Linked DNA regions of Arabidopsis thaliana. The protein of the gene in region 1 interacts with the protein of each later gene in a biochemical or structural test. Each region holds a gene or a part of one and is shown in the gene's direction. Other genes may lie near its edges.

Region 1 (17,384 bases):
TGTGTGTGTCTATGTATATATATATCTTCAATTTTCTTACTTGTACCTCATCTCTGATCTCCATGACCGTGTGATACTGATGTCTCACCTTCTCTCCCATATGTTATCTTCAAGTTTTAGTTTTTCTTTTTTCATCTCTCTTAAATTATTTAGATAGAGTAAAAACTACTTGGTTGGAATATTGGACGTTATTAAGGTTAGTTTTATATATCTATATACTGACTATATATACCCATATAAGATACTCGTATGATCTCTTATCATCTTTTCTTCTTTAAGGTCCAAAGGAATTGTTTTTATCTCTTGTTTTGAATTTCTTTAGAAATAATACTTCCTAATTATTAAGTACATGTTAAAACTGACAACATTATATTATTGGCATCGTTTTATAATTATTCCATGTCTTTTGATTTATAAATTTTGGATCCACGTTTAGTTTGCTTTAAAACTGTGACGTTCTCACTTCCAGAGCAATCGTTATTATTAGCTAGTAACAATGAATACAATTTGTAGTTTAGAAAAATACAGGTCGATGATTATTTCTTAGCTAGCATATAAAACATCTATGAGATTCCGACCAAGAAGTAATCATTACGATTCTATAAATTAGATTTGTTTCCGTTATCGATTTATGCTTTAAGTACGTAGGTTATCTGATCAGCAATAACATTCAAAGGAAAGATGACAACAATTTAGCCTTCGTAGGACAACACAACATGAGCACTTTACATAGCCTTTGTAATTTTTAGCCAATTTGACGTGGGTTTCGGACTCTTGATCGACATTAATCATCACCATGTAACAACAATATTATAAATTCACGATTAATACCATCATCTTTCTTTTGCTCTAGTACGATACTCTTCTTATGTGCTCCACATCGTTGGTAGGCTAAAGGTCAGAATAGTGACATCAAAACGGACAGTCACGCCAGCAAGCGGATCGGGCGAGACAAAGAAGAATATTGTTGCGAATATGACATACGAAATAGGTATAATTAAGCAAAGGGTGTGGAATAAAACAAAATTCTTCTGAGATTATATTAACTTAAGCATTGGAATTGTTCTTGAAATAGAAGTTGTATTGATTGATAAAACTAATTTATTAAATTCTTCATATTTAAAATATTTCAAATTAAAAAACCACACTCACACACATATACTTAAATGGCCCATGTACACAAAATATAAGTTTCGAAGAAAAAAAAAAAACGTCAACCATTCTTAGCACAAAAATTGTTGAATGGGTCATAAATATACGCACTTCATCCACTATGTTCTGAGTGCTCCATTGAAGGCCTAAATAGCTTCATATCTTTTAGACGTTGTAAAAAAAAGAAAAAAACTTCGTATGGACATAAGATTTGGGGAATCGTTATTATATATCATTAGGCATATCATATTCTATGATATATACGTGTATATAATTTCAGTTGCGTGATCTTTATTGTAATTATAGTAGATATAAACGATTAATGGTTAAAGTTTAATCAATAATTAGATAAACAATGTTAGATAATGGAAACTAAAGTGAGGAAAAAGACGAGGGCACTAACATGTAAATGCTGGAAGAGGAATATCATCGAACAAAAACAACAACAACACAGCTCAATCCTCAAAATACAAATATAAGTAACATTTTTTTGTGTGTGCATGTTTGCATCATATATACGTACATTTTTGCATATTGCGAATATCTCACACAAAAAGACAGAAGCATTTACTCTTATATAGCTGCTATTTTCCCTTACAAAATTATTATTACGAATTACTTCTGTAAAACCGCGGCAGTACTCTAGTTATAATATATTGTAATATGTCAAAAATATCACATCATATTTCTAGTAGTCCTCTTGGACCATTAATTACTAATTAGAACTATTTCATTCTCCACTAAAAATTTTTCTTCCGTACAAGCGAATATGTTACTAACATAGTGCTCTTGGCTTATGTGTTAGAACTTTACTAATATGGTGCTATTGGCTTAACATTCTTTAAATATATGTATTATGCTAAAACAAACATTATGTTGGTTCGTTTAATCTAGAACTATATTTTTTCTTAAAAAAATCTTGGCCTTGATCACATGTTTTTAATGCACTTTTGTTCCAATAATAATTTATATATAGTTTTGTTCTAAATGAAAGAGCATTCAATTGAGCTGAATTTAGAGAAACTCTAGGACTAGGACTAAATAATTTAGGGAAGAAAAAATATTCTATCAATATTTAAGGTTGTCTAACTTTTCTTCTTGTGGGAATTACCAGTTTTGCTTGGTTGTATGAGAAAAAATATATATATTACTTCATATGTAAAGGGGACAAGAGCTGCCAAAGGAGCGTTTTCTTCATTCGTTTTTGAATTATAAAAGTAAAATGAGAGAAATTTTTTTATTAAAAGTTTTATATTTCAGATCTGCACCCCAACAACATCTAGAGAATTACGAGAAATACCACATAGTGATTTTGAGGAACCATCAAGTTTCTTTCAGTCGTTTTCTCTCTCCATCTCTATTTGACCCGAGGGCTATACGTACCACTTATCATAATTTAGAATAATATTTTCTATAAATTGGTGGTCACACAAACCACGCAAAGCCTATCAACGTCCGTGTCGGCAAATATTCACAAAACTTCTTTTATCTCGACGTGTACCTCCATAAAAACACATTGTATGATCATACGTATTTGTAACTTTATAAGCCGAGTAAAATTATAAATAAATACGGTTGACACTTTTGTACATATATATATATCGAAAATCTTAAATGTACGTGAGACAAGTTTAGTGGAAACTGGAAAATAGATTCATGGCCGATTTTGGTGGGTGAGGCTGACAACGCCATATCACTCTCCGACGTCCGTATTCTCGTTTCCCAATCTCTATTAGGGCTGACGTCAGTCTGCTTCAAATCATTTCCATTCTCTTAATAGGAAGAAAAGACTCGGACAAGTTCTGTAGAATGCGTGTCTAAAAGTATATGTATCATTTTTTTCAAGGAAAAAAAAGAGATGTATATTGATGTATGTAAGAAAAGATAGAAAATTAAGACTCTGGTTTATGACCATTCGAGAGGAAAATGACCAGAGTCGGGGCATGACTGAGTATGCAAGCAAAGGATGCGATGGCCCATAGCCGAAATGGTAAAAGAAATCCATTTTTTTTTAATCTTCTGAACCAACTTCTTATAAAATCGAAACTAAAAGTTTTAAAATTAAAATTAAAATTGAATATTACATATGTGTATAGTTTTTGGTCATCGCAAAATCTTTAACAATATTAAAATACATGACTTCAAAACTTTTATCTAAATAGAAAGACAAAAAAATCAATTTATCAAGTTTATTAATTTATCGAGTATTAATTTTATAGACGTTTCATTCGGATGTTTATAGTCGATATTGTTGGTCTCAATAGAGTCAGAGGATTGAGATTCTCAAACTGCTCATGCATTCTTCTGCTAGAGAGAAGTCTCAGGACATTGCTATGGCGCATGAGTCTTTATGTTTTGTTGTGTGTACATCAGTTAATGCCATAAATCATATGTTTAAAAGACTTGTCAACAGCAACGGAAGCATTTGCCTCGACATTTTGAAAGAGCAATGGAGTCCTGCACTTACCATATCTAAGGGGAAATATATAAGCGAGAAGTTTGAAGAATTTGTAGCTACGTATTGTGGAAAAACTTCATGATCCAGCCACACTTGTTCTATATTATCTCCTAAACTGCATTCACTAAAATGTAACAGAAGATGATGCCATTGACTCCTACAACGCAAAATACAGGAAGCAAATGAAACAGGAGATGGAGTCATTGATTCCTACAATGGCAGGAAATGGGAAAGTGGAGAACGTTGCCTACCAACTAGCAAGACTCATTCACTTATTGAACAAATGAAACAGTGGATTGCAGTCTTGCAATTAAGATAAAGGCCAAATGGCATTTTACATAATGGAAATAAGATCATGTTGAGAAAGTTCCAACTACTAAACCTAACAGGACCAAAAGAATAACTACAAATCTTTAACAAAGCAAACTTCTTGCAGCCTTAGGTTACACCAAATTGGCAGGGGCTTGAATCGTCTTCTCATTTCGCATAGACTCAAGCTGAGGAACCGAAAAGATTCCAGTCATTGACTTTGAATGTAGAGAGTGATTGTTTAATGATATCACACATTGGCATTTTTCCAGATTGTGAAGCTGGGACAGCTAAACCAGATCCCACAGCATCCGCGCTTTCGCTCAGAGGACTGCACAATAATACGCAAACACCTTAGATGAAAAGACATGTGGTACAACAACAACAACAATAACCATATTTTGATATTCAAGTTCTGTATCAAAACGATGCATATCTATATTCAACTGCTTGCAATATAACTGAGTGACTCAACTTTGTGGGACTTACTTTATCAGGATAGGTTCATAGGCAGTCACTAAGACATCTGTATCAACTCCCTTAAGACGAATATTTGCCACATATACCTGCAGAATCATATAAACCAGTTGGTGTCTCAAGTAACAAACCCCTTTAGAATAAATAGAGAGACAGAACAAGGAGAAGCTTCATACTCTCACTAGGTTTTGTGCTTCTCTTCCCTGTCTTCCTTTGGATATAGCCTGTAATGATCCTTGTTAAGGAGAAAACAAATAGAAAGGAAAATTATGAGCAAAGACATCATATGTTTATGGACATTACCATCTCTCCAATAGCAGTTGTCGCAACAGCAGAGATGTTTCTGAAAGACAGTCCAGGCGCCTCAATGACCTCTGATTGCTCAATCAACTGAAAATTACACAGCAACATTACTAGATTGTCTTCTTCATATATATCATCAATCTTGGTAAAGATTAACCAAAAACACACCAGTATTAGTTCTATTTCGACTAGTTTCAGAGACTGAATCCACAATAACCAAAAAACAGCCTCACTAGTATCATCACAGGCAAAAAGGTTCCAACTTTGGGAAATCTATACACGTTAAACTCTATGTTTGTACTCAAGATACTAGATGTATTCTAGAGAAATAACAACACTAGTTCTTAAAGTTGGTTTGTCTACCATAAGAAGAGTTCTAGTGTAGTAGTGGTATTACCTGAAATCCTTCAGCATCTTGCTCACTCGCAAGATCATTAAGGAACCAAGAGGCACTGCCAATGTCACCAACCTCAGCCTTGAAATCCAACAACTCAAAAATCAAACTCTCATCTCTTGAAGGATCCACAAACACTTCCTGTGAAAACCAAACAATCAAACACAAATACAGAGTAAACTAGAGATTCTTCTACACATGTACTTACAAACAATGCCACTGAGAATAGAACCACCAAACCTGATGATCTGGAACTTGTCGGATATTACTCACATCCTGAAGATTCACAATAAGGAAGAAATGAGGAAACCAGTGAATTTCAATTAAGCAGCGAAAAGGGTTTTATTGAAAGAACCTGAAATCTTTGAGGGAAGACGGTGGAAATAGCGCCACCAAACAAAGGCCTCACCGAACATAACTCAACAGACATGTTTTGCTACATTCAAAAAACAAAATCCTCAAAAAACTAAACTTTGCCAGAAAAAAAAAATGCACTCACAAACATAACAGAATCGATTAGGGATTAAAGAGAAGAGAGAAGAGTACCAAATTGATCGATTGATGTATCTGGGGAAGTAAAAGAGAAGAACAAAAGTAGCAGAGAAATCAAAAAGTTGGAGTTTAGTATTTATATGAAAGTCAGAATCGAAAGAAGCGTTGCTTTGACGTCCCAACAAGTAGCTTTAACTTAACGCAAACAATTAAAAAAACAAACGATTAGCGTTCTTCAATCAACAATGTCTGCACTCTGCAAATTCACGATTGAGAAGAATGAGAATTACCAAGCGACATCGTTTAAATTAATACCGTAGTTTTTTTTAACAAAAGCCCAGGCCCATCTGTTTTATCTAGCCCATTTTAAACAAATAGAGATAATCAAAACCACTGGGATAATAATAAGATTTAATTTTTTTTCTTCCGCTATCATCATCAATCATCATCATCATCGTCTTCAAGACTTCAACCTTCAAATTCTTCATCACAAACCCTAACCTCCAATTTCTGATTCTACGATTGATCTAAGGTTTTAATCAATTCTTCTATCATCATGATTTATTCCTCGAATTTTTTCCGATTTTCCTTTGAACTGATTTTGTGGTCTCTCTTACTTTTTGGTTCAGTTTCATTTTCAACAATGAGTAATCAGAAGAAGAGAAATTTCCAGATTGAAGCGTTTAAGCAACGAGTCGTCGTTGATCCAAAATACGCCGATAAAACTTGGAAGATCCTTGAACATGCGATTCATGAGATTTACAATCACAACGCTAGTGGTCTCAGTTTCGAAGAGCTTTACAGGTACACTTCCATAGATTTCACTTTGATTCATCTCTTGTTGTTGTTGTTCTGCTAAACTTTGGTCGCTTATTTCAGAAACGCATACAACATGGTTCTACATAAGTATGGTGATAAGCTTTATACTGGACTTGTTACCACTATGACATTTCATCTCAAAGAGATATGTAAGTCTATTGAAGAAGCTCAAGGAGGAGCATTTTTAGAATTGCTTAATAGGAAATGGAATGATCATAACAAAGCGTTGCAAATGATTAGGGATATTCTCATGTATATGGATCGTACTTACGTTTCTACTACTAAGAAAACTCATGTTCATGAGCTTGGACTTCATCTCTGGAGAGATAATGTTGTGTATTCGAGTAAGATTCAGACTAGGCTATTGAATACGCTTCTTGATTTAGTTCATAAGGAACGGACTGGTGAAGTTATAGATAGGGTGTTGATGAGGAATGTGATTAAGATGTTTATGGATTTAGGTGAATCTGTTTATCAAGATGATTTTGAGAAGCCGTTTTTGGAAGCTTCTGCTGAGTTTTATAAGGTTGAGTCAATGGAGTTTATTGAGTCTTGTGATTGTGGTGAGTATTTGAAGAAAGCTGAGAAGCCTTTAGTGGAAGAAGTCGAAAGGGTTGTGAATTATTTGGATGCTAAGAGCGAAGCGAAGATTACTAGTGTGGTTGAAAGAGAGATGATTGCTAACCATGTGCAGAGACTAGTTCATATGGAGAATTCAGGTTTGGTTAATATGCTTTTGAATGATAAGTATGAGGATATGGGTAGAATGTATAGTTTGTTCCGTAGGGTTGCTAATGGTCTTGTAACGGTTAGAGATGTTATGACTTTGCATCTTAGGGAAATGGGAAAACAGTTGGTTACTGATCCAGAGAAATCAAAGGATCCGGTTGAATTTGTGCAGCGTCTATTGGATGAGCGGGATAAGTATGACAGAATTATCAACATGGCATTTAACAACGATAAGACGTTCCAGAATGCGCTAAATTCTTCGTTTGAGTATTTCGTCAACTTGAACACACGTTCTCCTGAGTTTATCTCCCTGTTTGTTGATGATAAGCTACGAAAAGGACTAAAAGGTGTGGGAGAGGAGGATGTCGATCTTATTCTTGATAAGGTGATGATGTTGTTTCGCTACTTACAGGAGAAAGACGTTTTTGAGAAATATTACAAACAGCATCTGGCGAAAAGGCTTTTATCTGGAAAAACTGTGTCGGATGATGCAGAGAGGAATCTGATAGTGAAACTGAAGACGGAATGTGGGTATCAATTCACTTCGAAACTTGAAGGTATGTTCACTGACATGAAGACCTCACACGACACGCTGCTAGGATTTTATAATAGCCATCCCGAGCTTTCAGAAGGACCTACACTTGTTGTTCAGGTTCTCACAACCGGTTCTTGGCCCACACAGCCAACCATACAATGTAACCTACCTGCAGAAGTTTCTGTTCTGTGTGAGAAGTTCAGGTCATATTACCTCGGGACTCACACCGGTAGGAGATTGTCTTGGCAAACGAATATGGGAACAGCAGATATCAAAGCAGTGTTTGGAAAGGGTCAGAAGCATGAACTAAACGTTTCGACTTTCCAAATGTGTGTCCTTATGTTGTTCAACAACTCTGATCGACTAAGCTACAAAGAGATCGAACAGGCAACTGAAATCCCCACCCCAGACCTAAAGCGTTGCTTGCAGTCAATGGCGTGTGTAAAAGGTAAAAACGTGCTAAGAAAAGAACCAATGAGCAAGGAGATAGCAGAGGAGGACTGGTTTGTTGTGAACGACAGGTTCGCAAGCAAGTTCTACAAAGTGAAGATAGGAACTGTGGTGGCACAAAAGGAGACAGAACCAGAGAAGCAAGAGACAAGACAGAGAGTAGAAGAAGACAGAAAACCTCAGATCGAAGCAGCCATCGTGAGGATAATGAAGTCTAGACGAGTGTTGGATCACAACAACATAATCGCAGAGGTCACCAAACAGTTGCAGACGCGGTTCTTGGCAAACCCAACAGAGATAAAGAAGAGAATTGAATCACTCATTGAGCGTGATTTCTTGGAGAGGGATAATACAGACCGGAAACTTTACCGCTATCTAGCGTAAAAAAGTCTGGATTGATTACACGGTCCCTCTGTTTATTTCGCATCGTTTCTTCTGTTAGTCAGCATTTCTTATTTGTTCTGTAGTCTGGTAAGTTATAAACATTTTGTTTCCGTTTTGAAAAGAAAATATTGATTTGCCTGTTATTGATCAAACCCATATACATCATCAAAGATATATAACCAGAGCGAGCATTTGCTTAACGGACTAATCTGTGCATCACACAGTTGCTTAACGGATATCTCCAACGTAGCTAAAAAGCTTGGTCTCTCTAATAATAACAATCTTCTCATACGAAAAGCTGCAGAATTTGGCCGTTTATGCGATGTCTAATTCGATTCTTCAATCATCGGAATCGTAAGATAACTCTTTACACTCAATCCAAAATGATACAATCTCCTTCCTTCTTCATTGAAATTGAATTTTTTTTGTATTGACTAATTGAATCACAGGGCGAGATTTGTAAAGCTGTTATATGTCCTGAAATCGCAGCATCTAGGTATAATGGAATGTTAAAGACTTATGTGTGCATTGATTTGGGTGATTGAAGTAGCTTAAGGTAGACAAGCTTAGGTTGATTGAAGTTTGTGGGACATCAGAATCTGAATTTCATTGTGTAAGTAGCACCAGTTTCTCTAACATGCAATTCAATCTTCAAAGTACTGATTTAGGACTGTGTGATCAAACAGGACTTGACCTCCATGATGGACCTTTGCTTTGACTTTTTTCGCGTATCAAAGGAAAAGAAAGATCTTAAGGAAACAAAAGGAAGTAAAAGTAAGGTTCTATCATTTGTGGTATACATATTGTTACAATGGCTCGATCCGGTGAACGATTATTAAAACAATAAGTGCTTATGTGCATAATTTTGTGTAGGTTTGGTTGATGTGGTACCCCAAAAGAAGAGGAGACTTGATGATACACATCTGATGATGAGGTACTTCTTTTGCTAGTTCTGAACAAATTGATCTGTTTCTAGATAGCTAGAACAAATTCTTCCAAAAGGGTGCATAGTGAATTCCCAAATCATTTATATGTGATCACCACTGGTTTAATACTAAATTTGATTGAGTTTCTGCAGCCTCATGTAACAAAAGACAAGAGAAGATAAATCAAGTACGAGGACTGTAAGTCTGCTATTGCTATATCAATCAAAGCTATCTAAGCCAGAGAACGGTGCTTATCCATTCCTTTCCACTCTCGCAAATCACATTATTAAACTTTAAAGAATCAACTTTTTATGTAGAAACAGTTGTATAAGCAAATCACAGGTTTTTCTTCTTTTTGGGAATCTTGGAGTTGGGGGTATTAATGTTTTTTCTTGAATACCCCCAACTCCAAGATTCTTCTATATATATTTACCAAAAAAAGAGATTATATATATATATATATACATTGTTTTTAGGGTTAGAAGACGTCATTGAGTAAAATGGGTTCATGCTCGGCAGCAGTTTCTAGAATTGTGGAGAACTGGAGAGAGCATCCTCCATCTTCTTATTCCCTCAAGATTCATAACTTCTCCCAACTTGAGAACTCAACTGCCTCCTCTGATCATAAATACCAGCTTGATGGAATCCACACCACCAACTGAGGCGTTTGCGGAACTCCGCTTCTATGTCTACAACAAGAAAGAAAACAAGTACTTTACTATTCAAGGTGCTGCACTACAAATCTCATGCTCTTTCTTTAAAATTTTACGTATAAATTCACATATTATTGAGTAAGCGATGTTTATATATTTAGATGTGGAAGTAAAGCGTTTCAATGCACTTAGAATGGTGTGGGGATTGCTAAAAGTTCTTTCATATGATACATTTACTAATCCTGAAAATGGATTCATCTTTGAGGGTGGTGAATGTGAGTTTGGTGTTGATGTCCTTGTTGCTCCACCCCTTACTAATTGGGAAATTCTCTCTTTTGATGAGAAACTCTCTCCTCCCAAATTCTCTTGGAATCTTAAGAATTTTTCTGAGTTGAAAGAGGATGTTTACACATCAAACAAATATCCCATGGGAGGAAAGGAATGGTGAGAAGTATAAATAATTTTGCTAAATTTTGTTTATGGACTAACAAGTATGTATACACATGTATTTGAATGTTAACAAGTCCATACTTAATGTTTTGTAGGGTTCTAAAGCTGTATCCAAAGGGAAACTCTAGAGCAGATGGCAAATATTTATCCCTATATGTGCATTTAGCTGATAGTGAAACACTAAAATCAGATGAGAAGAATTTCAAGCAAGGACATGTGCGAGTTCTTAACCCACTTGGATCTAATCACGTCGAAGTACAATGTATTTTCTAAAAAAATAAGTCTTCTTATATATACGGAGATATTCATTTGAAATTGTCTTTCTCACTAACCATGTTTTGCATTTTACTTTCTTGCAGCGAGCTGCTGGTACAAGGAATCAAGCAGGGGTTGGGGTTGGGATCACTTTCTGTCTATAGCTAATCTTCGGAAGACTTACTTGGACAAAGAAGATGCGTTGAATGTTGAAATCGAATTCAAAGTTGTTTCTGCAACCAAGTATTCTCCCATTATCTAACCTCTACTTTTTATTTTTAGAATATCAGTCATCTACCATTCTTCTACTATAGTACTACGACACAATGCTATATGTCCTGGACCAGTTTGTTATAATTTGAGTTCTCTAGTTTTCCATAAATTTGCTTTTATAAGAAAATATGTTATATATTTTGTTTGAGTTTTTACTAGAAGGACCTTTGTTGCTTCCATAATGATATACTCTAAACGTTTTGATTATACGTAAATAATCTCTTCTTTTATAATTTCTCCAGTTAAGCCACTCAAGTAGCACACTGTTTAATCTTTCAAACTGGACATGAATATTAGGAGAATTTTATACAATATTTGGCAACAGAATGCATTATTTGCCATCTACGAAGTAAACTTTTATATAATTAATAATGTAGTAATATTTTTATTCATGATCATAATTTTTTTCTCGCATGTTTTACGTTTTTTAATATTAAAGGTTAATATCACAAAATTTATGAAAATCTTCTTAGAGAAAAAATGGGTTATTTACAACTGATGAAATCTGGTGTAAAGTTATCTATAAAAGATATGTACTTTACCAACAAATTAAAAATCTTCTCCAAGAAATGAAATACTTATGCCAAATAATCTGATGCGTTTACAAGTATTTAGACGTAAATCTCTCTTTATTTTCCTCTCCCCCTATAAAATGTATTTTGTTTTTTTTGTTAAGCGATAATTTTTATAAAACCCTAATAGTTTATCTTGACACCCCAAGAATCCTATTTATACATTAATCAATCATAGTTTTAACTTTTAAGACTTGCATTGTGTTGGGTAGAATAAGATGGGTGCATCATGCTCAGCACCAGTTTCTTCTACTATCAAGAAAAACTGGAGAGATCATCCTCCTTCTTCTTATTCTCTCAAGATTCACAACTTCTCCCAACTTGAGAAAACTACTTCCTTCTCTGGTCATAAATACCAATCTCGTCTTTTCTCCTCTGGTGATATAACTGGTATGGATAATTGTATTTTCAGGGTTTAGCATTAATCATTATATCTTATATAGCCAATGCAATATGTTGTTTTAAAAAAAAAACAGGAGATTGATCATATATCCGAAAGGGAACGTAAAGGACAATGGAAGTGGATTTATTTCGATGTACGTGGAATTAGACAGCTCAAGCTTGATGGAATCCAAACCACCAACTGAAGTGTTTGCGGAACTCCGCTTCTTTGTCTACAACAAGAAACAAAACAAGTACTTTACTAAAGGTGAAGTATACATCTCATGCTTCTCTTTCTATAAATTCACATTTAAAATCAGTAATGGATGTATCTTATATATCTTTCAGATGTTGAAATAAAGCGGTTCGATGCACTTAAAATGGTGTGGGGATTGCCAAAAGTTTTTCCATATGAAACATTCATTAACCGCAAAATGGATACCTATTCGAGGGTAATGAATGTGAGTTTGGTGTTGATGTCATTGTTGCTCCACCTCTTACCAATTGGGAAATCCTCTCTTTTCATGATGAGAAACTCTCTTATCCCAAGGTCACTTGGAGTGTTAAGAACTTTTCTCAGTGGAAAGAAAATGAGTGTTCCAAACCAAACAGATTTTCAATAGGAGGAAGGGAATGGTGAGTATCTATATAAAAATCGTTAACAAAAATGTATCTCTATAGACATGTGTGTATGAATGTTCGTAATTTTATCTTTTGTAGGGTTCTAAAGCTGTTTCCGAAGGGCAACTCTAGAGCAAAAGGCAAATATTTATCCGTGTTTCTTTATTTAGCTGATAATGAAACACTAAAACCAGATGAGAAGATTTTCACGCAAGTAGTTGTGCGAATTCTAAACCCGCTTGGATCCAATCACGTGGCAAGCCGATGTAATTACTAAAAGACAGTTGCATTATTATCTTATTACTTTTTATAATCTTTCGATATACAAACTGAGATATTAATTACTCTCATTATAACTGTTTCACATTTTTTGTTCTTGCAGTGAACTACTGGCACAAGGGATCAAACTTTGGTTACGGTTGGTGTAAATTTCTTTCCTTAGATAAAATTCGGAAGACTTACTTGGACAAAGAAGACACGTTGATGATTGAGGCCGAATTTGAAGTTGTTTCCGCGACCAAATTCTCTACCATTATCTAAACTCTTTTTTGTTTTGTTTACTTATTAATTTACTTCTACATGAGTAGAATAGGAACCAGTAGATTACTAAGACACAATGCTATGTCTTGGACCAGTTTTTTTTTTTTTTTCATTCATGTTCTCAGCTGGTTTTCTATTAATTCTATTTTATAGGGGAATTGGCAAAACTAACCAACAAAAAATTTATAATTAAGGAACTAACATCAAAAAAAAAAAAATGATATCCTCTATATTTTGTATATTAATTCCAAGTTTACCCCTCTATCTATTTCTCTCATCTTTCTTTATGTGTACCTCTATCTTCCGTTCTCTCTCCTTTCTCTCTTTCTCTCTCTCCCCCTCTCTCTTTCTCTCTCTTTCTTTTTCCCTCCCCCTCTCTCTTTCTCCCCAGTAAAGTCCTTACACCTACATTGTTACTTGTTTTTGTTTTCAAATCAGAGTCTCTTAATTACTTTTGGGTGAGATTTGATTTGGGGGTTTCGAATTACAGAGGGAGGAACACAATTTGGATTCAGGGAATCGACTTTCGTTGTTGCGCTTGGTGTCTTGGTGATGAAATTGAGTTTTGTTGTTGCAATTTGAGAGATACTATTCTATTTGTAAATATACTATTTACGTATACTTTGTTTTATATACGTTTTAAAATGAATTATTTGTTTTGATTAAGGATGTTAAGTGATTTAATTATTGGTTTAGATTTAAACCCTTGGGTTCCCTATATATTATCCCTTAGGGTTTAATATCTTTCCATAAAAAAATATTGTGTATCTATATAGAACGTTATGTTATTCATTGACAACACTATTCACATCTAAATTATTTTGTGTCTGTTTTAAAAAATTTAAGTCATGATATATGTAGAAAACTATACAACTTTTAATTGATATATCATGAACTTGAATTAATTTTTTAAAGATTAGATAATATGAATTATAATTGGGAAGGGGTAAAGAAAAAAGAAAGAGAAAAAGGAACTTCTCTCCTACCACCTGATTTCTTTTCTCACCTCAACACTAATAATAAAGCCACGTCACCTCACACTAAACATTTTCCTTCCTCGCTGACAAACGTAACATCAGGACAGTGATGTCTTTTCACACCCCTTGAAGGTTATTTATTACATTTACAAATTTATGGTGTTAGTTAGTTAATTATTTAGTAAAAAAATGCTATATCTGCAAATCACCCTATTTTATAAGAGACAAAAAAAAAAACTGATTTTCCATAATCTCCCAATCTATTTTCCAATGTTTATTGACAATGGTTTTATTTCCTATATCGAAAATGAGTTTCTTGAAAAGGTTTTATCTAAAAATTTCTCATAATATCTAGTTATCTATCATTCTTAACCATTTATCTCTCATGGTTAAGAATCTCTTCTATTTTATAGAAACATAAAATATAAGAGATTGCCTTCATTCAATTAGTATTATCGGTAGTAAAACTTCGGATACTGATTTTTTTTTTGATTAATTCATTAATTATGAGAGCTAGTAAAGATGAATTTTATACATTCGTCACATATGTTTAAACTTATACGGCGTCGTTTCAAAGACGACATGAAACTAAAACGAGGAACAAAACAACCAATCACGCCATCGCTAACAGTAATAATAATCAAACACGGTAAGTACGAGATTCTTCTTAGCGAATCAACCGTTAAAAATCACATCAAAAGTATATACGATCGAGATTCCGCCACGTAGATAACTCACTGTAGATCTAACCACACTGGATAATTAGATATTTTTTTCTTTTTTCTTTTCAATGAGTACAGTTCAGCCACGTCTGTCTCTCAGACCAAAACGCAAGTATCGTCCTTTGTTTTGTTTCTTTCTTCATCGTTGATTTGTCAACTCAACAACGCCCAAACCCTAAAACAATCCCCAATCATCGTTTCAATAATCAAATTTCCCCAATTGAAGAATAAAGATCAAAACTTTGGAAGTTTTCCTGTGAAAATAATCTATCCTTTTTGCATCATTTGCGTTTTGGTTGATGAAGAGGATCTGAAGAAGCTGAGATTTAGGAATGATGATGGGTTTTGCTGTATCGGATGAATTGTTGGGTACTGTTGCTCCGATTGTGGTGTACTGGTTGTATTCTGGGATTTATGTAGCGCTCTCCTCTTTAGAGAGTTATAGATTGCATTCAAAGGTTGAAGAAGAAGAGAAGAATCTTGTATCGAAATCTTCTGTTGTGAAAGGTGTTCTTGTTCAACAGGTTGTTCAAGCTGTTGTCGCTATCCTTTTGTTCACGGTACCGTTTTTCTCTTTTCCCATTTTTGAGTTGTTTTGCTTTTGTGAAATTGAAGTGAAAAGTTAGGTAAAACATATTGGGGAATTTTGATATCTGACGCTGACTTTTTATGTGTGGAATTGGATGGTTAAGATTTTTGTTTTTAAAAAGGTTAACTTTTTGGGTTGATGTTGTCTTTCGACCCATAAAGAGAAATGGGTTATGTATTAATGATCTTAAAGTTGGATCATATATTGACTGTTCTAACAATAGTTAAGAGCTTTAGAGGAAAGTATCAATAGGGATTGTTCTGTGATTTGGCAATAGGGTTTAGACTTGGCAGACCTTATTAGGCTGCTCTAGAATTCAACCAAGGACTCTATCTTAGGCTCCGTTGGTCCTCTGTTCCTTACTTGTGTTAGATTCAGAGAGGACTGGTTCTTATCAGCTTATCTGATGAGAAAACCAACAAACATAGTAAACCTTGCTAATTGTGATCTTTAAGCTTAAGCAAGTTCTTTTGTTGAACTGGAATGTTGTTTTGTTGAACTGGAATGACTACATCATCGGTTCTTTTGTTGAACTGGAATGAAGCGGCATCATCGGTTCTTGGTTTGAATTCGTCTGATCCTGAGTACTTGTAATGTATGGATTTGCTTAGACATGCCGCTGATAGAATTGACTCATCAATATCATGGAATATCTTCTTTTCTGTTTGTACTAGTTTTTGCTTTTAACCTTCTTCTAATATGCTTCTTCATTGTCTATACAGGTGACGGGAAGTGATGCCGAAGCAGACAAAGCGCAACAGTTTTCCTTCTTGGTCCTAGCAAGACAGTTTGTGACTGCCATGATAGTCCTCGACACATGGCAATACTTCATGCATCGATATATGCATCAGAACAAGTTCTTATACAAACATATCCACTCTCAACACCACCGTCTTATCGTCCCTTATGCATATGGAGCTTTATACAACCATCCAGTGGAAGGTCTTCTCTTGGATACAATTGGAGGCGCCTTATCTTTCCTAGTCTCTGGTATGTCTCCAAGAACTTCCATCTTCTTCTTCTCTTTCGCCACGATCAAAACCGTGGACGACCATTGCGGTCTCTGGCTACCTGGAAACTTATTCCATATGGTCTTCAAGAACAACTCGGCTTACCACGATATCCATCATCAGCTCTATGGAACCAAATACAATTTCTCTCAGCCTTTCTTTGTCATGTGGGATCGGATTCTTGGAACTTACATGCCTTACTCGCTTGAGAAAAGAGAAGATGGAGGATTCGAAGCTCGCCCGACTAAAGAATTCAAAGACGATTAAGATTTTGGAGTTTGGATATATGTTATGTATCTGCCCTGAGGTTGGAGAAATGGATGATACTTTGTGTTATTGGAGGTGTAGTTTTAAAATCAGAAACAGAACTGGTTTTTTTGCGTTTTGCGTTTCTTCTCAAGAGCGAATTTAGCTTGGAGTTTGAGATTTGTATATAAACATTATTGAGTTGTTGTTCTACTTTCGGTTTTTGTTTTGCATGTAATATTACTACAACAAACATGTTTTTTTTATAATCTATCCATCTACGAGGCCATTCTTGAAAGATTTTGTGTTGATTTTGTTTTATAATTTCTTCACATTCACATTTTAGTATTGGATATTCTTAGAAGTATTGTAGTGCAAGATGAAATATTACAGATTTAATAATCCTCCAGATGTTTGATTACCACATGGAGCAATTCTTTGCTACTCGTTAGTAGTGTCTAGACTAAATAAAACAGTACCTGCGAAGCCTTTTGCTTGTCCCACAAGAAACACAACCACATCAGATCTCAAAGTTGTTCAACAACTACATGTTTACATGATCTCTTCATCAAACTCATCGTTTCAAATTATAATGCGTTTTCTTTTATGTTCTTATTTCTCTAAAGCCCATAAGGCCCGTTATACAAATACAATGCGATTTATACTA
Region 2 (16,942 bases), about 15 Mb from region 1:
AAAGAACAAAGCAAGTGCAAAAATTCTTAGAAGAGAATGAAGAAAATGGAAACAACTCAATAGCCACCTTTGAGATCGTTGACAACATTGGGAATGGGAGTGACAGTCTCCAAGGTCATACCTTCAACCATGAAACAAGGTTTAGGACCTTTAGGTTGTCTCTTAGTGCTAATAGTTTCACATTTAGCTTTAGCAGCAGCCTTAAACACATCGTTTTGCTTTTTCCTGAGACTAAACTCATCATCACACCTTGACTGTTGCAGCCTTAAGCACATCGTTCTGCTTCTTCCAGAGATTAAACTCCTCATCACACCTTGACTGTTGCACATGCTCCACACGTACATGTATCCTCTTCCTTATGTTTCTGTTCTTAATCTAAAACCCAACCCAAAACTCAAAATTAGCTCTCCAAGAGATTCAACTAAATGATAAACATCAAAGTCAAAATGAAAACATCACTAAGAATCATAGTAGATTGATTGCAAATTATACAAGTAGCAAAAGAAGGACCCAAGAAGAAAAGCTTGAAGCTTTCAAACCAATACTAATCACACATCACAAAATTCAAAACAGATAGCTCACACAAAGACGAATTAAACCCCAAATCAAAGAATCAAAATAACGTTCAAATCCTAATTTCAACAATCAAAACTCTTCCAAACAGATGAGAATTTTGAGTAATCGAAACCTGTTTGTTGACTTCAACACCAACGGCACGCGTAGTGAGATTTCAGATACGACCAATACGACTATGGTAGAACTTATGAGGAATACCCTTGTGAATAGCTCCATTAACCTTGACATTGACGTAATCGCCGACCTTGAAGGTTATGAGGTAAGTGGAGAGTAGAATATAACCCTTCTTCCTGAATGGTCTCGCGAACAGATCTCTTGTTCTTCAGGGTCAACCAGAGAACTTCTAAAACAAAACCCATTACTTCGAAATCGCCGAGTTTAATTCGAAATCGCTGAGCTTTACTTTTTCAGATCGAAATTGTGTAAAAGAGAAGAAAATTTTCAGATCGTGAATGTGTTAGGTTTTAGAGTTAGGTTTTATCGTTGTTTTCTAAATATATTAAGGGTATTTCTGTCATTTGGCATATTAATCGCAGCTTTTTAATTCTAACGCTAAATTTAATCCGCGTTTAATTTTTTTCGCCGCATAACGTTGCGTCGGCCGCAGCGTTTTACCGCATCTATCTGCGGTAGTGAAACGAACAGCTTCGATATGCGTCTGCCGCAACCGCAACTACATGCGGCGACGAAACGAACAGACTTATTTTTACAACTTTGAGATGAAGAGGAAGAACATGTCATTTTAAATATTGTACGACTTTTGATTAATACGTACATTTCATTGTTCCACACTGAATTTTGTTTAAAATTTGAGAAAAATAACTCGTACTATTCTCTATTTTACTCTATTAATTAACTACTACACCAGCCAGTCTAAGATTTTCTTCGTTTTCACGATTCGATTTGGACGTCATATCACTATACATGGCGTACATGCATGAAACTACATATCTCCATCTCTCCTCCACACATTCTCTTTGAATACAAACACGACTTACACGGCCCAATACGTAACAATTTATTTTATATAATGGAGTAATACACATTACCAATACGTAACATTTTTCGTATTATATATGACGGTAGTTAAAATTTATTGGTACAAAAGAAAAATTATGCATTATATATTTCCATGACGAGCTGTGATGATTTATTGAGATTAGCTTTTGATATCCAGAAGTAAAGTTTAGCTACTCCAACAAAAGTTGACTTATAACAAAGTTCCGAAATAGTAAAAATGCAAACATCAAAAATCGATTGAAATTAACATTGAAGAATATAAGTTATTTTTAACAAATGTTTTATTTTATCTCAAAGTATATACTCAAATACTTTCACAAAAAAAATATACTCATACTTTAGACACGGTTTTAAACCTTTCCTTTCTAGTCAACACGTACGTTGTACGTAGACCTTCTCTCTCTTTTTTGGTTTTATGTACGTAGACTTTGGAATCTATTAAAGCACATACATAAGTCATATGTAAATCCAACCATTTCATTCATGTATCCTTTCAATAACATCTCTGAAACAACCTACTTACATCTAGATGTTTCAAATAAAGTATATAATATGTCAGGGTTGACACTATAATAATAAGTTGACTTAAGATCTCAATGCATGTACTGTATAATGTAGTGTTAGCTAGGGGGACCATGGGCAAAGAAAGAGCTTAAGGGTGTCATTTGGCCCCGTATATTATTAAGCACTTGTGGTGGTGTTTCTACTCTGAAGCATGCACTTAGATATATATTAAAATATTTTGGTTTTAGTGTCTATATAACAAAATTTAGTGGAATAATGTATGTCATCATTAATTTTTTGTTTGAACTTTCCAAAATACCCCTCCCCCAATTATATGATCTTTTACCATATATATATTGGGGTTAAAAATATGCTTCAGGTATGCCACTGAAAACCCCTATTCGAGTGAACATAGAATTTACCATTAAAAAAAAAATTCATGTGTCCTATTGGATATTTGGGACATATATATATAAGCAACCTAGTAAATACAATGCCTTCAAGTTGTATTTATCATTCATACACTTTTTTTTTGGTCAAATAACTCATTCATAAACTTAATAATAGAAAACCCTAACATTAAGACGATTTGTTTCAATATCGTTTTCTTCTTTTACGTTTTACAAGTTCATCAAAAATCACAACAAAATTCCAAACCAATATTCAAGTAACGTTCTTAAAAGTTAAAGCCGGGAATCACATATTTAGAAATTCAATAACTATACGCCTATACCAATTAGTTATCGTCTATAAATGATTAACTCTTACAATCTCGTATTCTAATATGTACAAGTACAACTATTGCTTTCGACTTTTATCGTATTTATACATATACTATAAAAGTGTGATTTAATAGCACTTTCTCTTTCTTTTTTTTGTTAAAAATAGCACTTTCTCTTCAATTATCTTTCACGTGATTTCGATATTAATAACAAGACTGATTTTATTTTTTATTTTGACAGCAATAACAATTAACAAATGTACATGTGTAGTATTTTAGGATTCCTTTTCTGATTAAAAGTTTGCCTTAAAGAGAAAGAAAATAAAATATCTACCTAAAATACAAAAATACAAATTATTCTTAGTTTCTGAAAAGAAGAGAAATTAGTTAAGAGCAAGAGAGGACGACAGAGAAGCATTTTAATTTAGAATCACTAGCTTTGATGATAATAAATTAGAAGAGACGACGACACTCTTTTGTCTTTGTCACTGACACCAAACTATAATAATCAATTTTTTTTGTTTCTATTATTCAATTATCTTATTTTATTAAATACGTGCTGTCCCATGGAAGGAGCAGCTTTCTACATTTAATGCTTTTGCAAACTTCACCAGAAAACTTGTCTTTTAATAAATAAAATAAAAAATAATTGAGACGCATCCTAAATTCCTAATGCATGCATGTATTTGGGTTAGAATAACGAAATATTAGTTTGTTTGTTTTTTGCTAAACAATAGTATTAGATGATTTTCCCGTAATTTATAATTTATCAGACAATCTAATCCAATTGGTCAACGGATTTGATTTGGGCAGCTTGACATTCTAATGTCAAAGGAGGACCACAAAATCTAATTACGCGTTCCCTTAATAATAATAGTATGAAATATCATTCCAATGTCCGAGATTCTAGGTCATATTGAAGAATCTCTGGCCATATATCTATTCTTTTGACGAACACAATATGTCAAAATTTGAACATGTTAATGATTATTGATTAAAGAAAAAAAATATATATATTTGTCACTCAAAATGTTATGAAAACATTAGTTATCAGTCTCAACTTCCCATCTCGAAAAGCAGGATCGCGAAATAAGAGGATTAACTTTTGAAGGTTATACTCATTTGCTAGATATACGATTTAACTAGTGATGTATAACTAGGGGTCAAACCCACAAGTAAAAAGAAAGTGGTAGACCTTATCGAATTGACAATAAGTGTCGATGTGGAAAGTGACACGCACCTCTTGAAACTATAGATGTTAGATGATCTAACAATAGTCAGGGGTATGATCAAGGCAAGCTTATGAAAATCGAAAACAAAACTCGAAACGTTTTCACAAAGCTTAATGAACCCAACTTGGTTCCTTTGCAAAAGCACCGCTCGAGAAAAGAACAACCAGAGCCCTCTCTGGCTCTCTCGTATTCATATATATAGATAACTATATGTGAATGTGATTATTACATGTGTTATGTGTATATACGTGTGTTTTCCTATATCATACATAATAAAATCAAATAATCAAGATTTTTCTTTTGACAAAGTTCAAGGTATTTTTCAAGTTTAGTCAATATCACTCGTATATAGTTATGACGCCTCCCACCTATATTTTTTTTGTCATCTGGAATTATATTAATAGAAGGGTTGAACTTCACATCATAAACCCCAAGAGGTCACACATCTGAAAGTGAGAACAACAACTCAACAATCATCAAGCCTATACACTAAGCCTCTTACTACCAAAAGAAGGGCCATTACAAAAGAACACACTCCACACCCGGAACCATACAACCCAAAAACTCAAATTCAAGCAGAGGACAAACCCTTTCTTCTGCGAAGAGTACCCCTTCAAGCCAAGAAGGATGACCACTCGCAACATACGATTGTAGTCTACAGTCATTAGTAACACTCTTAGCAATAAGAAAGGCACATCCGTTTTGAAGATAAGTTTTCCAAAAGAAGTTTCTAAGCCTTGAAAGACTTAAGAGCTAAACCTATATATATATATATATATATATATATATATATAATTGTAAAACTATTACACAACCCCTTTTTCACGTAGTATACATTTCTGACGAGTGATCAATATCACGTTTTGAAAAGTCATATACTCACATTCTTTCTTTCTTTTTCTCCATTTATGATCATTTAATCAGTTAACTCATTTGATAACTACAGCTCAAACTAAAACATAAATGGCAAAATGAAATTCCAATCGATAGAACATGTAATTTACTATCATTGAAAAATAAAAATAATTATTTCAGTGTTAAACTCATTTGGTAAACATATACATTAATCTAAAATGAGATAAATTCTTTGTTCTTGAGTTTGAGTTTAAGCTGAAAAAGTAGTTTACTTTTTTGCAAGTCTTACCAAAAGTTAGCCTCTAACTAGAAGAGACAAATGCACCGAAAGTGAAACTTATAAGTTATTTATTTATAAGCACAAAATTTAAATCTTCATAAAAAGGAAAAAAAAAACTTAAATTATAATATAAGTATTGAAAAGTTCTCTCGCCGGATTATTCACGCAAACCACGTGGATTATCACGTGCCCGGTGGCCGCCACCACAAATCCACTTTACTAACATCATAGGCCAATTCAACTAAAATGAAATCAATCCTTTGTTTTTCTCAAGCAAAACTTCTAAACTCGTCTATATTTCTAAAGGGAGAGTTTTCTTAATGCACTTTTAAAAAAAACATAACATTATTTATTTCCACCTCTAAGATGATGAATCATTTAACCTCTTTCAAAAACATTATAATTTAAACGTCAAAAGGTCTATGAAAAAATGCTATACCAATATCTTTAATGAACCGTATCATATGCGATGCAAATTTATTTATTCAAGTTTATGCATAAACATAAAATTGTTACATGGTATTCTTTTTCAATTCTTAAACTATTCTACTAGTTGAAGTTATTTTCTTATACTGCCACACACTAGATATTGAACTGTAAAGATCTTTAAGCAATCGGGATACTATATTAAAGTGTTCGAGCTAAACCCACAAGTACATAAAATTGTAGATTGAATAACTTCTTGCCTTAGTTTGGATAGTTTTCTTTTAAAAAAATTATAGTAATTTATGTTATAATTCAATGACTTATATAAAAGGAAGACTTGAACAATGAACAGTTAGACAGAGATTATAAACACATCGAATAATTAATATTTAGCAGCAGTGCACCACACATCAAACTAACTTGATCGTTCAGGAGAAAGAAACGATTGATGTACGTTAAAATCCAACGCATATCCATTATTGAGAAGATTGGGAAAAGAAGGCTGGATCTGGATCACACACCAAACGGATGTCTCTGTCACTTTTTTTTTTCCTTCCAGAAAAATAAAAAATAATAATAGAAGTTGCTCTAAAAAGGGAGATTTTGGACCTTATCATAATTATCAATGAATCAACAAAAATATTATCCAATAAGATGCGCACATAATATTAATATGGATTATACACACTAGCACAAAGATGAAAGTGGAAACTTTGTAAATTTATTCATATAGAAATGTAGAAAATAACATATAATTATAATATAGATTTGCATTGTATGACAAATTGACAATGAAGAAAATGGAAATAAGTTAATAATGACTAAATGCCAATAGAATTTTATAATTAGAAGATTAGGTTCTCCCCTTTACCCTTTACTTACTTGTCAGCTTCTTCTTTTTTTCTTTCATCTATTTTTTATGTTTATGAGAATTCTTTTTAATTAAAAAATTATGGTGATAGAGTTAAAAAATAATAATTATTATGGTGATTTTTCTCTGCTTTTTTTTTTTTATCTCATCCGCAAAAAGGCTAAAGTAACCCTAATATAGTTAATTCTTGTTTTTTTCATGAGTATATTTTAAATAGGATGAAGTCACATATTTTAAAAGCTTAAGCCAACAAAACTAAGTTTTTACAAAATAAATTTTATTTCTGTTCACCGGTTCTTTTTCGATATTAAAAATTGATCTCGATGGAAACCAACCACAATTCTTACTAAAAATCTCTAGTCTTCACGTCTTTGTTTAATGGTTGATACTTGATAGGCTTCTGAAACTAAAATACTGTATAAGATAATCAAATATAACTAATATTATTTTACTGATAAAATTCTCTATAGCCACTTGAATACTATAATCATATGTGATGCTATAAATGTATAATTTTAATTTTATAAGTTAGCTTTACGTATTTATGATAGAGATGGTAACACTTTCCAACTTTGGCCTTTTCGATTTTGATATATGTATGGCTCCTACGCCTTTACTTACTTTTCCCTCTCATTCATTACACTTCACGCCTCCTTTATCTCTCTTTAATAACTCCAAAAAAAAACAAAAACAAAAAAAGAGAGAGATGGAAAAAAAACTGAAACGGCGTGAATCAATGTCAACCACCGCCGCAGAATCACCGCCGGCGAAACGAAGAAGAACAGTCACCGGAAATGAAAACTCCGCTTTAATCGAAGGACTTCCCGATCACATCTCAGAGATCTGTCTGTCTCTCGTTCACCGTCCGTCGTTACTCTCCGCCGTGTGTACACGGTGGCGCCGTCTTCTTTACTCGCCGGAATTTCCTTCGTTTCCGTCACTCTACGCTCTTTTCGTCGATTCAACATCGGATACGGGTCGGGTCAACCCGTCAGTCCGGTTTATGTGTTTCAACCCGGTTTCTTCAAAATGGTATCCGCTTCCTCCTCCACCACCTGACCCGCCTCTTCACCGGATTCTTTACCGTCATCCGTCGTTTATCTCCTTTAATTTACCGATTCAATGCGTCTCCGCCGCCGGAAAACTCATTCTCATCGCCGGAAGTAACCAACAACTCTCTCCGGCGATCTCTCACCCGTTAATTTTCGATCCAATTTCGTCATCCTGGAGCTCCGGTCCTCGAATCGGATCTCCAAGACGGTGGTGCGCCACCGGAGCTTGCGACGGAGCTATCTACATCGCAAGCGGAATTAGTTCTCAGTTCTCATCAACCGTCGCGAAATCTGTCGAGAAATTAGATCTAACCGAACAAAACCGGAATAACCACCGGTTTAATTGGGAGAAATTGAGAGATATGAGAGATTTACGGTTTAGTCGAGAAGCTATAGACGCTGTTGGATATAGAAGAAAGCTTTTAATGGTAAATGTTAAAGGAGACGCGGTTAAAGAAGGAGCTATATACGACGTCGTTAAAGATGATTGGGAACCTATGCCGGAGGAGATGTTGGTTGGATGGAGAGGCCCGGTTGCGGCGATGGAGGAGGAGATTCTTTATTCGGTGGATGAGAGGAGAGGGACAGTGAGAAAGTACGATGATGAGAAGAGAGAGTGGAGAGAAGTGGTTGTGGTTGAAGGTGGAGAAGAGATGCTTAAAGGAGCTACGCAAGTAACGGCGGATTCCGGTAAACTTTGTGTTGTTACTGGTGATGGGAAAATTGTTGTGGTGGATGTTGCGGCGGAGCCGGCGAAGATTTGGAATGTTGAGATTCCTGATGGACTTGAACCGGTTTCGGTTCATGTTTTACCAAGAATGAGTCAACCGAATTTTTGCTGACGTATTTTTTTTGTGATATTATTATTATTATTATTATTATTCTTTTCCTTTAGTATACGGAACTTTTTTTATTTTCTGTTTTCCCGTTTTTCTGGTGGAAAAGTGTCATCTTGTCGTTATTTTTTAATACCTGCACTGCAAATGAAAAGACAATACACGTCAGAATTTTTTAATCTTAATTTATGGTATACAACTTTATATAATTTTTATTCAACTCGTAGTTAAAAATAAAAATCTGTTTGGTTGTGGAAATATGGAATATCTCTCTCTCCTTTATGAATCAACGTACAATTATTAGAAATTTCACATATCAAATAAAATAAAATTTTGGATACGAATGGTTACGATAGTTGGAGTGGACGAATCCGTTTATGGAGTGAACCTCTAGTATAATTTATAGTAGTACATGTCAAAAAATATAACAAATCTGATGCGGACTAACTATGATCCGTTTGTACATAGAAATAAATTTGGTATACAATAGATTGTTATCTATCCCAAAAATATAATAATCTAATTCGCTAATCGTTTAGCGAATTTCGTCCGCTACATGCATTTAAACCTTTTATTCATATATACATTGGGGAGTCGATTCATTTTATCATTTGATTTTAAGTTAATATTTAAGTTTGATGAGATTTATAATGGTTCATTTACCTATTATCTGTTCTATTTTATGGAGATTGATTAAGCATACCAAAACTGACCAAAAGCCATCGGTGATGCTATAATGTTAAGAGACTCACCAACTTGGAGTAAACCAGAACAAACCACGTTTATTCAACAACTCAAGATGTAGACATACAAAAATATGGATAAGAATCACCTATTTTATAAAGTCCTCTCATGCATTGTAAGGCGTTAGCTATGTGTAACTTGTTTTTGTTTTTTCGTTGCATCTTTATTGTGGTGTTGAATAACTGATTTCAATTTTCAATTGACTGAAACCAACTTTCAGAAAGCTAACATATGTCAGTGAAAATAAAAAATCAGCAGAAAATTAATTGAATTTATATGTAGAAACCAAAGCTTAAAAACCTTAGAATAGAGAATTGAGAAAAGTGATCTATTGGGTTGGATTTAAAATTATCCGATCCATTGGGCTTAATGAGAGACCTCTTTGTGATAAATTGACAAGAAATAAAGGCCATCTTTTATATGAGCTCTTCACGTCAATGTGGACCATCTTGTAATCTATCATATGGTTCATACTTTTAAAATCACATGGGTTCTATATGTGAACAAGTTTGAATAAAGATGGTGAAAAGGCTTTTTAGTGGTTGAGAAGAAAACGGTTAGAGAGATGTCTTTAATTTTGGTATGATGCCATTGGGATACACATATGGTCCAAACAAGCGTGAAGCGTCTCCAATACCTACATGAAAGGGTGAATTCTTTCACGATGAGTCTGCGTTTATAATAACAAAACGCTAGCTAGAGAGACAACCCATTCAAGTCCAATGAAATGTTGTCGAGCTTTTAAGATTCTTCCATTTGACCTTTCAGGTTTATCACCGTCTAAAATTGAACATAGCTTGATCTCTTTGACCATAGTATTTAAGAGGTTTCGCGTCAAACCACTCACTGCCACAACATGGTCCATAGTATGTAGAGACTAGTGGGTTTTGCACTAAGCTCTAGATTCCAACAAAATTGAATGTCAACAATTTGTTGTTTTCGTTTTTGGTTCTAAAACTAAAAAAAAAATTCAATGTCCCCATATTTTCTTAAAATCTAAGAAAACTAATTTTAGTACAAAATCTAAAAACTCTTTTAATTTTTGTTTTTAAAAGTTAAATATCCTAAAATAACAAACAAACAAAAAAATCTCAATATATTTAAAGCCACATTAATATATTTGATTTAAAGATAATTTTTAAAATTGTTAGTAAAATTATATAAGAAATGGAGAAGAAATAATAGCGTAGCCCAAAAGCTAATTACGAATTCTATCAAAGGATTTATTCCAAATCTTTCAAAAAGTATTTTTATTCCAAAATCCTCAAAACTATATCCCAAATTTTATTTGTATATATATAATACTTTTCCCGTCCGTAATAATATTCATAAACACCATTTCAGCGAAGAAAGGAAAAAAAAAATGCAGATCTTCGTCAAAACCCTCACCGGAAAAACCATAACCCTAGAGGTCGAAAGCAGCGACACCATCGACAATGTCAAAGCCAAAATTCAGGTTTCTCTTTCTCTCTTTCTCCGTCTCCCAATTCCACCTCCTCGTGCTTTTCTTAGGATTCTAGGGTTTTGCACTATGAATTTGTTTGATTGTTGGAGACACAGATTGGTTTGCTTTGTTTGATTGATTTTTAGGTTTTCTTTCCCCGATTATCTAGCGATCGATGTTAAGATTTCTTTAGATTTCTGTGTAACAGTAAGCACAAAGGCTCTCTTAATCCTTCATGTGTTTGCTTAATTTCGTATTTGTTTATGTTTTATGGTACACTTGAAGGTATGTGAATTGCTTGAGAATGGTTAATTGTTTCTGAGTTTAAGAAGATTGGATTAAGATTATTGTTAATGATCTTTTGATTTGGTCTTCTTCTAATTGGTTTATGAATGGATGGGATTTGATGAAAACAGGACAAAGAGGGAATACCACCTGATCAACAGAGGTTGATATTTGCTGGTAAGCAGCTTGAAGATGGTAGAACATTAGCGGATTACAACATTCAGAAAGAATCGACTCTTCACTTGGTATTGAGGCTTAGGGGTGGGACTATGATTAAGGTGAAGACTCTCACAGGGAAGGAAATTGAGATTGATATCGAACCAACCGATACTATTGATCGGATTAAGGAACGTGTTGAGGAGAAAGAAGGTATCCCTCCTGTTCAACAAAGGTAAATAACTTCTTTTTTTCCAGTTACTTCAGAAGAATTGAGTCGCAAAGTTTTTGCCTTGGGAACATTGAGTCTTGAACTATATTAACTCTTTGTGATATCTGTCTCAGCTCTCTTAGAGTTGTTTGTGTGGTTGAGTCAAAACTGATTGTATAAGATAGGTTGCAGTTTATTGACTTGAGTTTCATGTTTTAGTGACTTGCCCCTCTTGTGAAAATTGCAGCTCCTTTCAGCTCAGCTCTTTTACTTGATTGTATAAGTTGCGGTTCATTGACTTGATTTTCATGTTTTAGTGACTGGCTGCTTCCCTCTTGAGAAAATTGCAGCTCCTTTCGAGTGTGTTTACTTATGCTTTTGGCATCAAACGATTCTACTCTGCGTGCAAGCTGATAATCTATGCTGTCTCATATAACAGTGATTCTCATTAGTATTTCTAGGATGCTTATATATCTCATGGATGTTTGCAGGCTAATCTACGCCGGAAAACAGCTAGCTGATGACAAAACGGCAAAGGACTACAACATAGAGGGAGGCTCTGTTCTTCATCTGGTTCTTGCCCTTAGGGGTGGTTTTGGTCTTCTCTGAGAAGTAACTCTTGAAGATATCTTTTTCTCTTTGTATGGCTTGTTGGAGTTCATGGGAAAAAAGTGATTGCAATTTGGATATGATACTTTGAATATTATGCTGTTTCACTGGGTTTGGATCATTTTACCAATAATCTGTTAAATATCGAATCATTTTGTTTTGTTTAACATCGAATCGTACTTTAACATATTTATTTGGGATTTAGCTATTTATGATGAATATCTTTCATTCAAGAAAGAGGCTAGACATGTGAAAATAGGATCGAGCTATGTGTAAGATCGGACCAGGCCGATTGAGATTGCTGGTTGCATGAGTCCATCAATAGTCCCATATTTATTTGCATTACAATGAAATAGTGGTTACAAATCGTCAAATCCAATGAGTGTCCATCACATTTAACAATTTTTACTTTAATTTTCTAAGTAACTTAACTTGTCAACTTGAGTTTGATTCTCTATACTTTCATAGCCAGAAAAGCACATGAGACATGACTAATGTGATTATAAAAACTAGAAGAAATCGTATGGATGGGCCGACCAAAAAAAAAGATGACCGTTGAGATTTAAACGTTAAGCTTTAAAGCTTTACAAGACATAAACGTTGCGGACAGAATCGGATCCTTCCAGAGCCTCCCACAAACTCATACATATAAATACATGTGAAGTAGAATCAAAGCAAGAACAAGAGTCCAAGAATAAAAATCAATCAGAAAGAAGATTGAACATAGATCTCAAGAGTCAAGATCGATGGGTTTGGTTGTGGTCATATCTCTGCCTCTAATTTTCTTCTGTCTACTTCTCGGATTTGGCTGCTACTTCCTCGGAAAATCTCGCGGCCGTCGTGAGATCCGTACAAATCCTCAGGTGTATGGAGCTCCAGCTCCGCCTCCCGGTGCTATCGCCGCCTCCTCTCCGCCGTTGTCTCCACACGCCAAGCCCGACAATTCTCACAACGTCTGATTTTCCTTCATTTTCTCTTCTTTGTCTGTCTTGCTTGTCTCTATTGGAAGATGCTTTTGTTTGACTTATTGTGAATTGTTGTAACTTGTAATCTTTTGATTGTCTTTAGTTTTCTTGGGATGAATTTCCTTCTTTATTTGTGTATTTTCCTATCTCTTTGATGTAAATAAGAAAGCTAGTAATGGTTTACACATTGATTATTCTATAAGAAACATCTAGAAAAGAAAAAAAAGGAAAAAAAACATCTAGAAATATATCAGAACTTCTTTCACAAAAGAATAATATATATCAGAACTGCGTGTTATTAATTCAACGAGTTCAAACTTCAAAGTATGATGTGGTAACACAACCAAATTCTCCTCTCGGATATAATTAGACCAAAAAAAAAAAGACGAAATATTTTTGCTATAAACAATATATATATGGGTAAATGTGAAGAAATTTGTTTCTTCTGCCAGGAAATAGACAGTTAATACATTGAAAAAATGGTAAAACTTTAAAGAAAAGCATATCTTAAGAGATGAAACCCTAATTAAGGTGTTGAGACTTCAGAGACAGATCAAGAGATCTTATCAGAAGATATCTGTGAAGCATTTCAAACAAACATTACAAAAAATGTAGCCTCCTTCCGGCGGAATGGTAGAAGGAGTTGTAATTCTGCTAATGTTTATTTTGGTCATATATAGATTTAATTCTTTGATATTGCAAACTCATGATCCCATTTTCTTATTATGTGGTTAACCAATAAAAGACTCAATTTTGCAGTCTTACTAATCAGGACTATTTGCCAAAAAAAAAACTAATCAGGACTAAAAAACTACATCTCTTTTTTTTTTTGCTACATATATATATATATATGATTATTTTCAGTGTATATATAATATGTATAGATATTAAAAATAAATAAAAGATAAGTCGTGTGTAGTCCACATATCTTGAACATCAAAATGACAAAACTATTAAAATCCGCGGCAAAATCTCTTATCCAGTGACATGTTACTTATCAACCAATCACAACACGCCACCTCATCACCCCAAGACCACTTCTCTTATCTTCCTCTCCCTCCACTAATCCCCTCAAGAATCTAAAGCTCCTCCCATAAGTCTTCTCTCCACACTTCACCCAAAACTCCAGAACCCTAGAATTCGAAATCTCCAAAGAACCCGACAAAGCGCCATGTCGCTCACTATCCCGGCGAATCTCGTTCTCAACCCGAGATCTAACAAATCTCTCACTCAATCCGTACCTAAATCCTCCGCAAGATTCGTCTGCTCCGATGACAAATCCTCCTCCTCCACACCTCAATCCATGAAAGCTTTCTCCGCCGCCGTCGCCCTCTCTTCCATCCTCCTCTCTGCTCCTATGCCAGCTGTCGCTGATATCTCAGGTTTGACTCCTTGCAAGGACTCAAAACAGTTCGCTAAAAGAGAGAAGCAACAGATCAAGAAGCTTGAATCTTCTCTTAAGCTCTACGCTCCTGAATCTGCCCCTGCTCTTGCTCTCAATGCTCAGATCGAGAAAACCAAACGCAGGTTCGTCTTCCATTTCTATTTCTTCGTTAAACCAGAGCTTTTTCTCTGTTCTGAAACAGAGCTTTCCTCTGTTCTGAAACAGAGTTTTTCTCTGTTTTAGTGAATTACTTGCTAGATCCATTGCTTTAGTATGATTTTTTTGGTGAGTTAGTGAGTTTTCGAAGTTGCTAGACATGTTAAATTTGATCATTGATATGATCTATTGAGGAGCTTGTGGAACTGTGGATTGGTTTGAAGTTGATGTGCTTATGAATGTATGTTAGGTTCGACAACTACGGGAAGTACGGATTGTTATGCGGGTCAGACGGTTTACCGCACTTGATAGTGAACGGAGACCAGCGGCATTGGGGAGAGTTCATTACTCCAGGGATTCTTTTCCTCTACATTGCTGGATGGATCGGGTGGGTTGGAAGAAGCTACTTAATAGCTATTAGTGGTGAGAAGAAACCCGCGATGAAAGAGATCATCATCGATGTTCCTTTGGCTAGTCGGATCATCTTCCGTGGTTTCATTTGGCCCGTTGCTGCCTACAGAGAGTTTCTCAATGGTGATCTCATTGCTAAGGATGTTTAAAAAGGGAACTTGTTTTCTGCTTTTGTGTTACTCTCTCTAATCTCTTTGTTTTCCATTGTACTTATTGAAAAACAATGCATTGTCGAAAACCTTATAAAATTTGGATTGCGCAAGTAGAAAGAATTATGGCTAAAATGGTGATTGACAGATTGTGATTTTGCGGTCTAGTGATTGCTATGTGAAGCTCAATTGCTTGAAGGGAATATCCTGATATAACGCACAGGAGCATAACCAAATTTACTTAGTATAATGCTATTTTACCACTCTTGCATTTGCATGAATGCAGGAGAAGCTCTTGAACTATAATAGACTAAATTACTTGTGTTTCTTCTTAAGCTCACTGTAAATTTCTTACCACAAGCACATGCTCCGGTCCGGTCTTTCTGTTTCCTTCATATGCGAGCGATTCTATCAGCGACTATCAAATGGCAAATGTTTGCAAGGAAACCAAAAAATAAAGACAAATGGGCCATAAGTTTGCATAATAAAAATTCAGGCCCATACAAGTGCTTAGTGCTAATTGCTAAGCTAGACTTAGCTAGTATCAAAGATGACCATTACACGATAATATGCTCACAGAGTCAAGCACACACCATGGGTTACATGATCATAATTGTATATAGATATAGATAAATAATATATCTCACAAATTTACATTAGGTCAATAACAAAGATCCCTCCTCGGTTGGAAATGATCAAAATAACCCTACCGGATCATGATCCAAAGGTCCTACACATACACCAAATCCCAAATACCCCGGAATTACAAAGTTACAAATACTAATAAATATATAGAGAGAGATTTATAATATATAAATATATTTAGTATTTTTATGTATCTATATCATGTTAATAATTTCACTCTGTAGTCAAAACAGAGCATTTTCATATCCTACCCCTAAATTTAATATATAATAATCCCGAAATTTCCCAAAAAAGGAAGAGGAAATTGCAGTAGCAGAAAGAGAGCATTATTGACTAGCAAGACCACATAGACTCTCCCAAACTGGCTTCATCCACAATGTCCATATGGCTAAACATGCCCTTGTTGTCCTGTGGACTCACTTGCTTCGAAGACGGTGACCCGCTGCTACTCGGACTATCCGGGCATAGTCCGTGCCCTGGGAAATTAGTCGACTGGCGTACACGTAGATGCACCACCTCAGCTTGAGCTAGAGCTAGCTGAGCTTGCAACACATCTATCTGTTGCTGGAGGGACGAAATTGCCCCAACGCAACCGTAAACCGGATCCCGCACTCTTGCATTAGCCTCGTAAACCATGCTGCTCACAGCGTCCCCTCGCTGGTGGATTGGTAATTCCTGTTGAGTTTTTAAAACATTTTGTCAGCCACTAGACCAATTAATCTCGCAAGACTATATAAAATTTATATAATCCATCTCAAATGTAGACTCTACATCAGCTAGCTAAGAAATGTAAATCATATCATTAACATTAGCTAACAAAAGTTAATATGGTTAAAATTCAACATCAGCTAATAAATGTAACATATTCCTAAATTCTTAAAATTCAACAATTTTGTTTTTAAATCCCTAAACTTATAATATAAACGGGTCGGCCCATGTGGTAGTTGTCAATAAAAAGTTATGGAAATGATAGTAATGTCTCATCTAAAATAAGAAACAAGAAAATCATCCTAATTAAACCTAACCCAACATATGAGTAAGCACGTTTTAGATATTCTTAAGAAGAACAAGAAGAAAGAAACCTGAAGCATCTTGTTGACGTTGCTAGCACCGAACACTCTATGAACATTAGCAAATTTCTGAGGCTCATCGGCCGGAAAATACGGCGAGAAAACGCAATCTTGAGCGCACCGCCGCCGCAAAAGCTTACACGCAGCACACGGTGACGCAGCTCCTTGCTTCCGGCTACTTTCTTTCATCTCTCGCCGCCACGTGTCCTTTGGATATGTGAATTTATCTAGAAGAACTGAATCTCAACCGTTGGATTGTCAGTTATCGAGAAAGCTGTGGGAGGGTCTCTAGGTGAAGTGTGACGGATCTGTGGGGATTTATAGAGTGAGAAAGAGAGAT

What was found.
Region 2: the proteins of CUL3B (region 1) and RUB1 form a complex in vitro, tested with the Arabidopsis thaliana proteins (one study listed by BioGRID).

The regions. Positions count from the first base shown.
Region 1 is NC_003070.9:26,193,287-26,210,670, reverse strand, and holds CUL3B (cullin 3B), read left to right. Parts: upstream 1-5,875; 5' UTR 5,876-6,117; intron 6,118-6,214; 5' UTR 6,215-6,228; coding exon 6,229-6,389; intron 6,390-6,464; coding exon 6,465-8,502; 3' UTR 8,503-8,685; downstream 8,686-17,384. Other genes in the region: AT1G69680 (ran guanine nucleotide release factor, putative (Mog1/PsbP/DUF1795-like photosystem II reaction center PsbP family protein)), read right to left, coding at 4,103-4,250, 4,409-4,485, 4,573-4,620, 4,700-4,786, 5,097-5,234, 5,334-5,369, 5,449-5,523; AT1G69660 (TRAF-like family protein), read left to right, coding at 10,068-10,155, 10,243-10,525, 10,627-10,793, 10,891-11,048; AT1G69650 (TRAF-like family protein), read left to right, coding at 11,850-12,021, 12,131-12,280, 12,361-12,413, 12,464-12,648, 12,733-12,899, 13,016-13,173; SBH1 (sphingoid base hydroxylase 1), read left to right, coding at 15,205-15,432, 16,184-16,738. UniProt on the Arabidopsis thaliana protein: Component of the cullin-RING ubiquitin ligases (CRL), or CUL3-RBX1-BTB protein E3 ligase complexes which mediate the ubiquitination and subsequent proteasomal degradation of target proteins.
Region 2 is NC_003070.9:11,212,956-11,229,897, reverse strand, and holds RUB1 (uncharacterized protein), read left to right. Parts: upstream 1-10,279; 5' UTR 10,280-10,480; coding exon 10,481-10,573; intron 10,574-10,977; coding exon 10,978-11,237; intron 11,238-11,704; coding exon 11,705-11,822; 3' UTR 11,823-12,203; downstream 12,204-16,942. Other genes in the region: KUF1 (KAR-UP F-box 1), read left to right, coding at 7,084-8,379; AT1G31335 (uncharacterized protein), read left to right, coding at 12,569-12,781; PSAF (photosystem I subunit F), read left to right, coding at 13,959-14,314, 14,578-14,887; LBD4 (LOB domain-containing protein 4), read right to left, coding at 15,866-16,207, 16,615-16,791. UniProt on the Arabidopsis thaliana protein: Ubiquitin exists either covalently attached to another protein, or free (unanchored).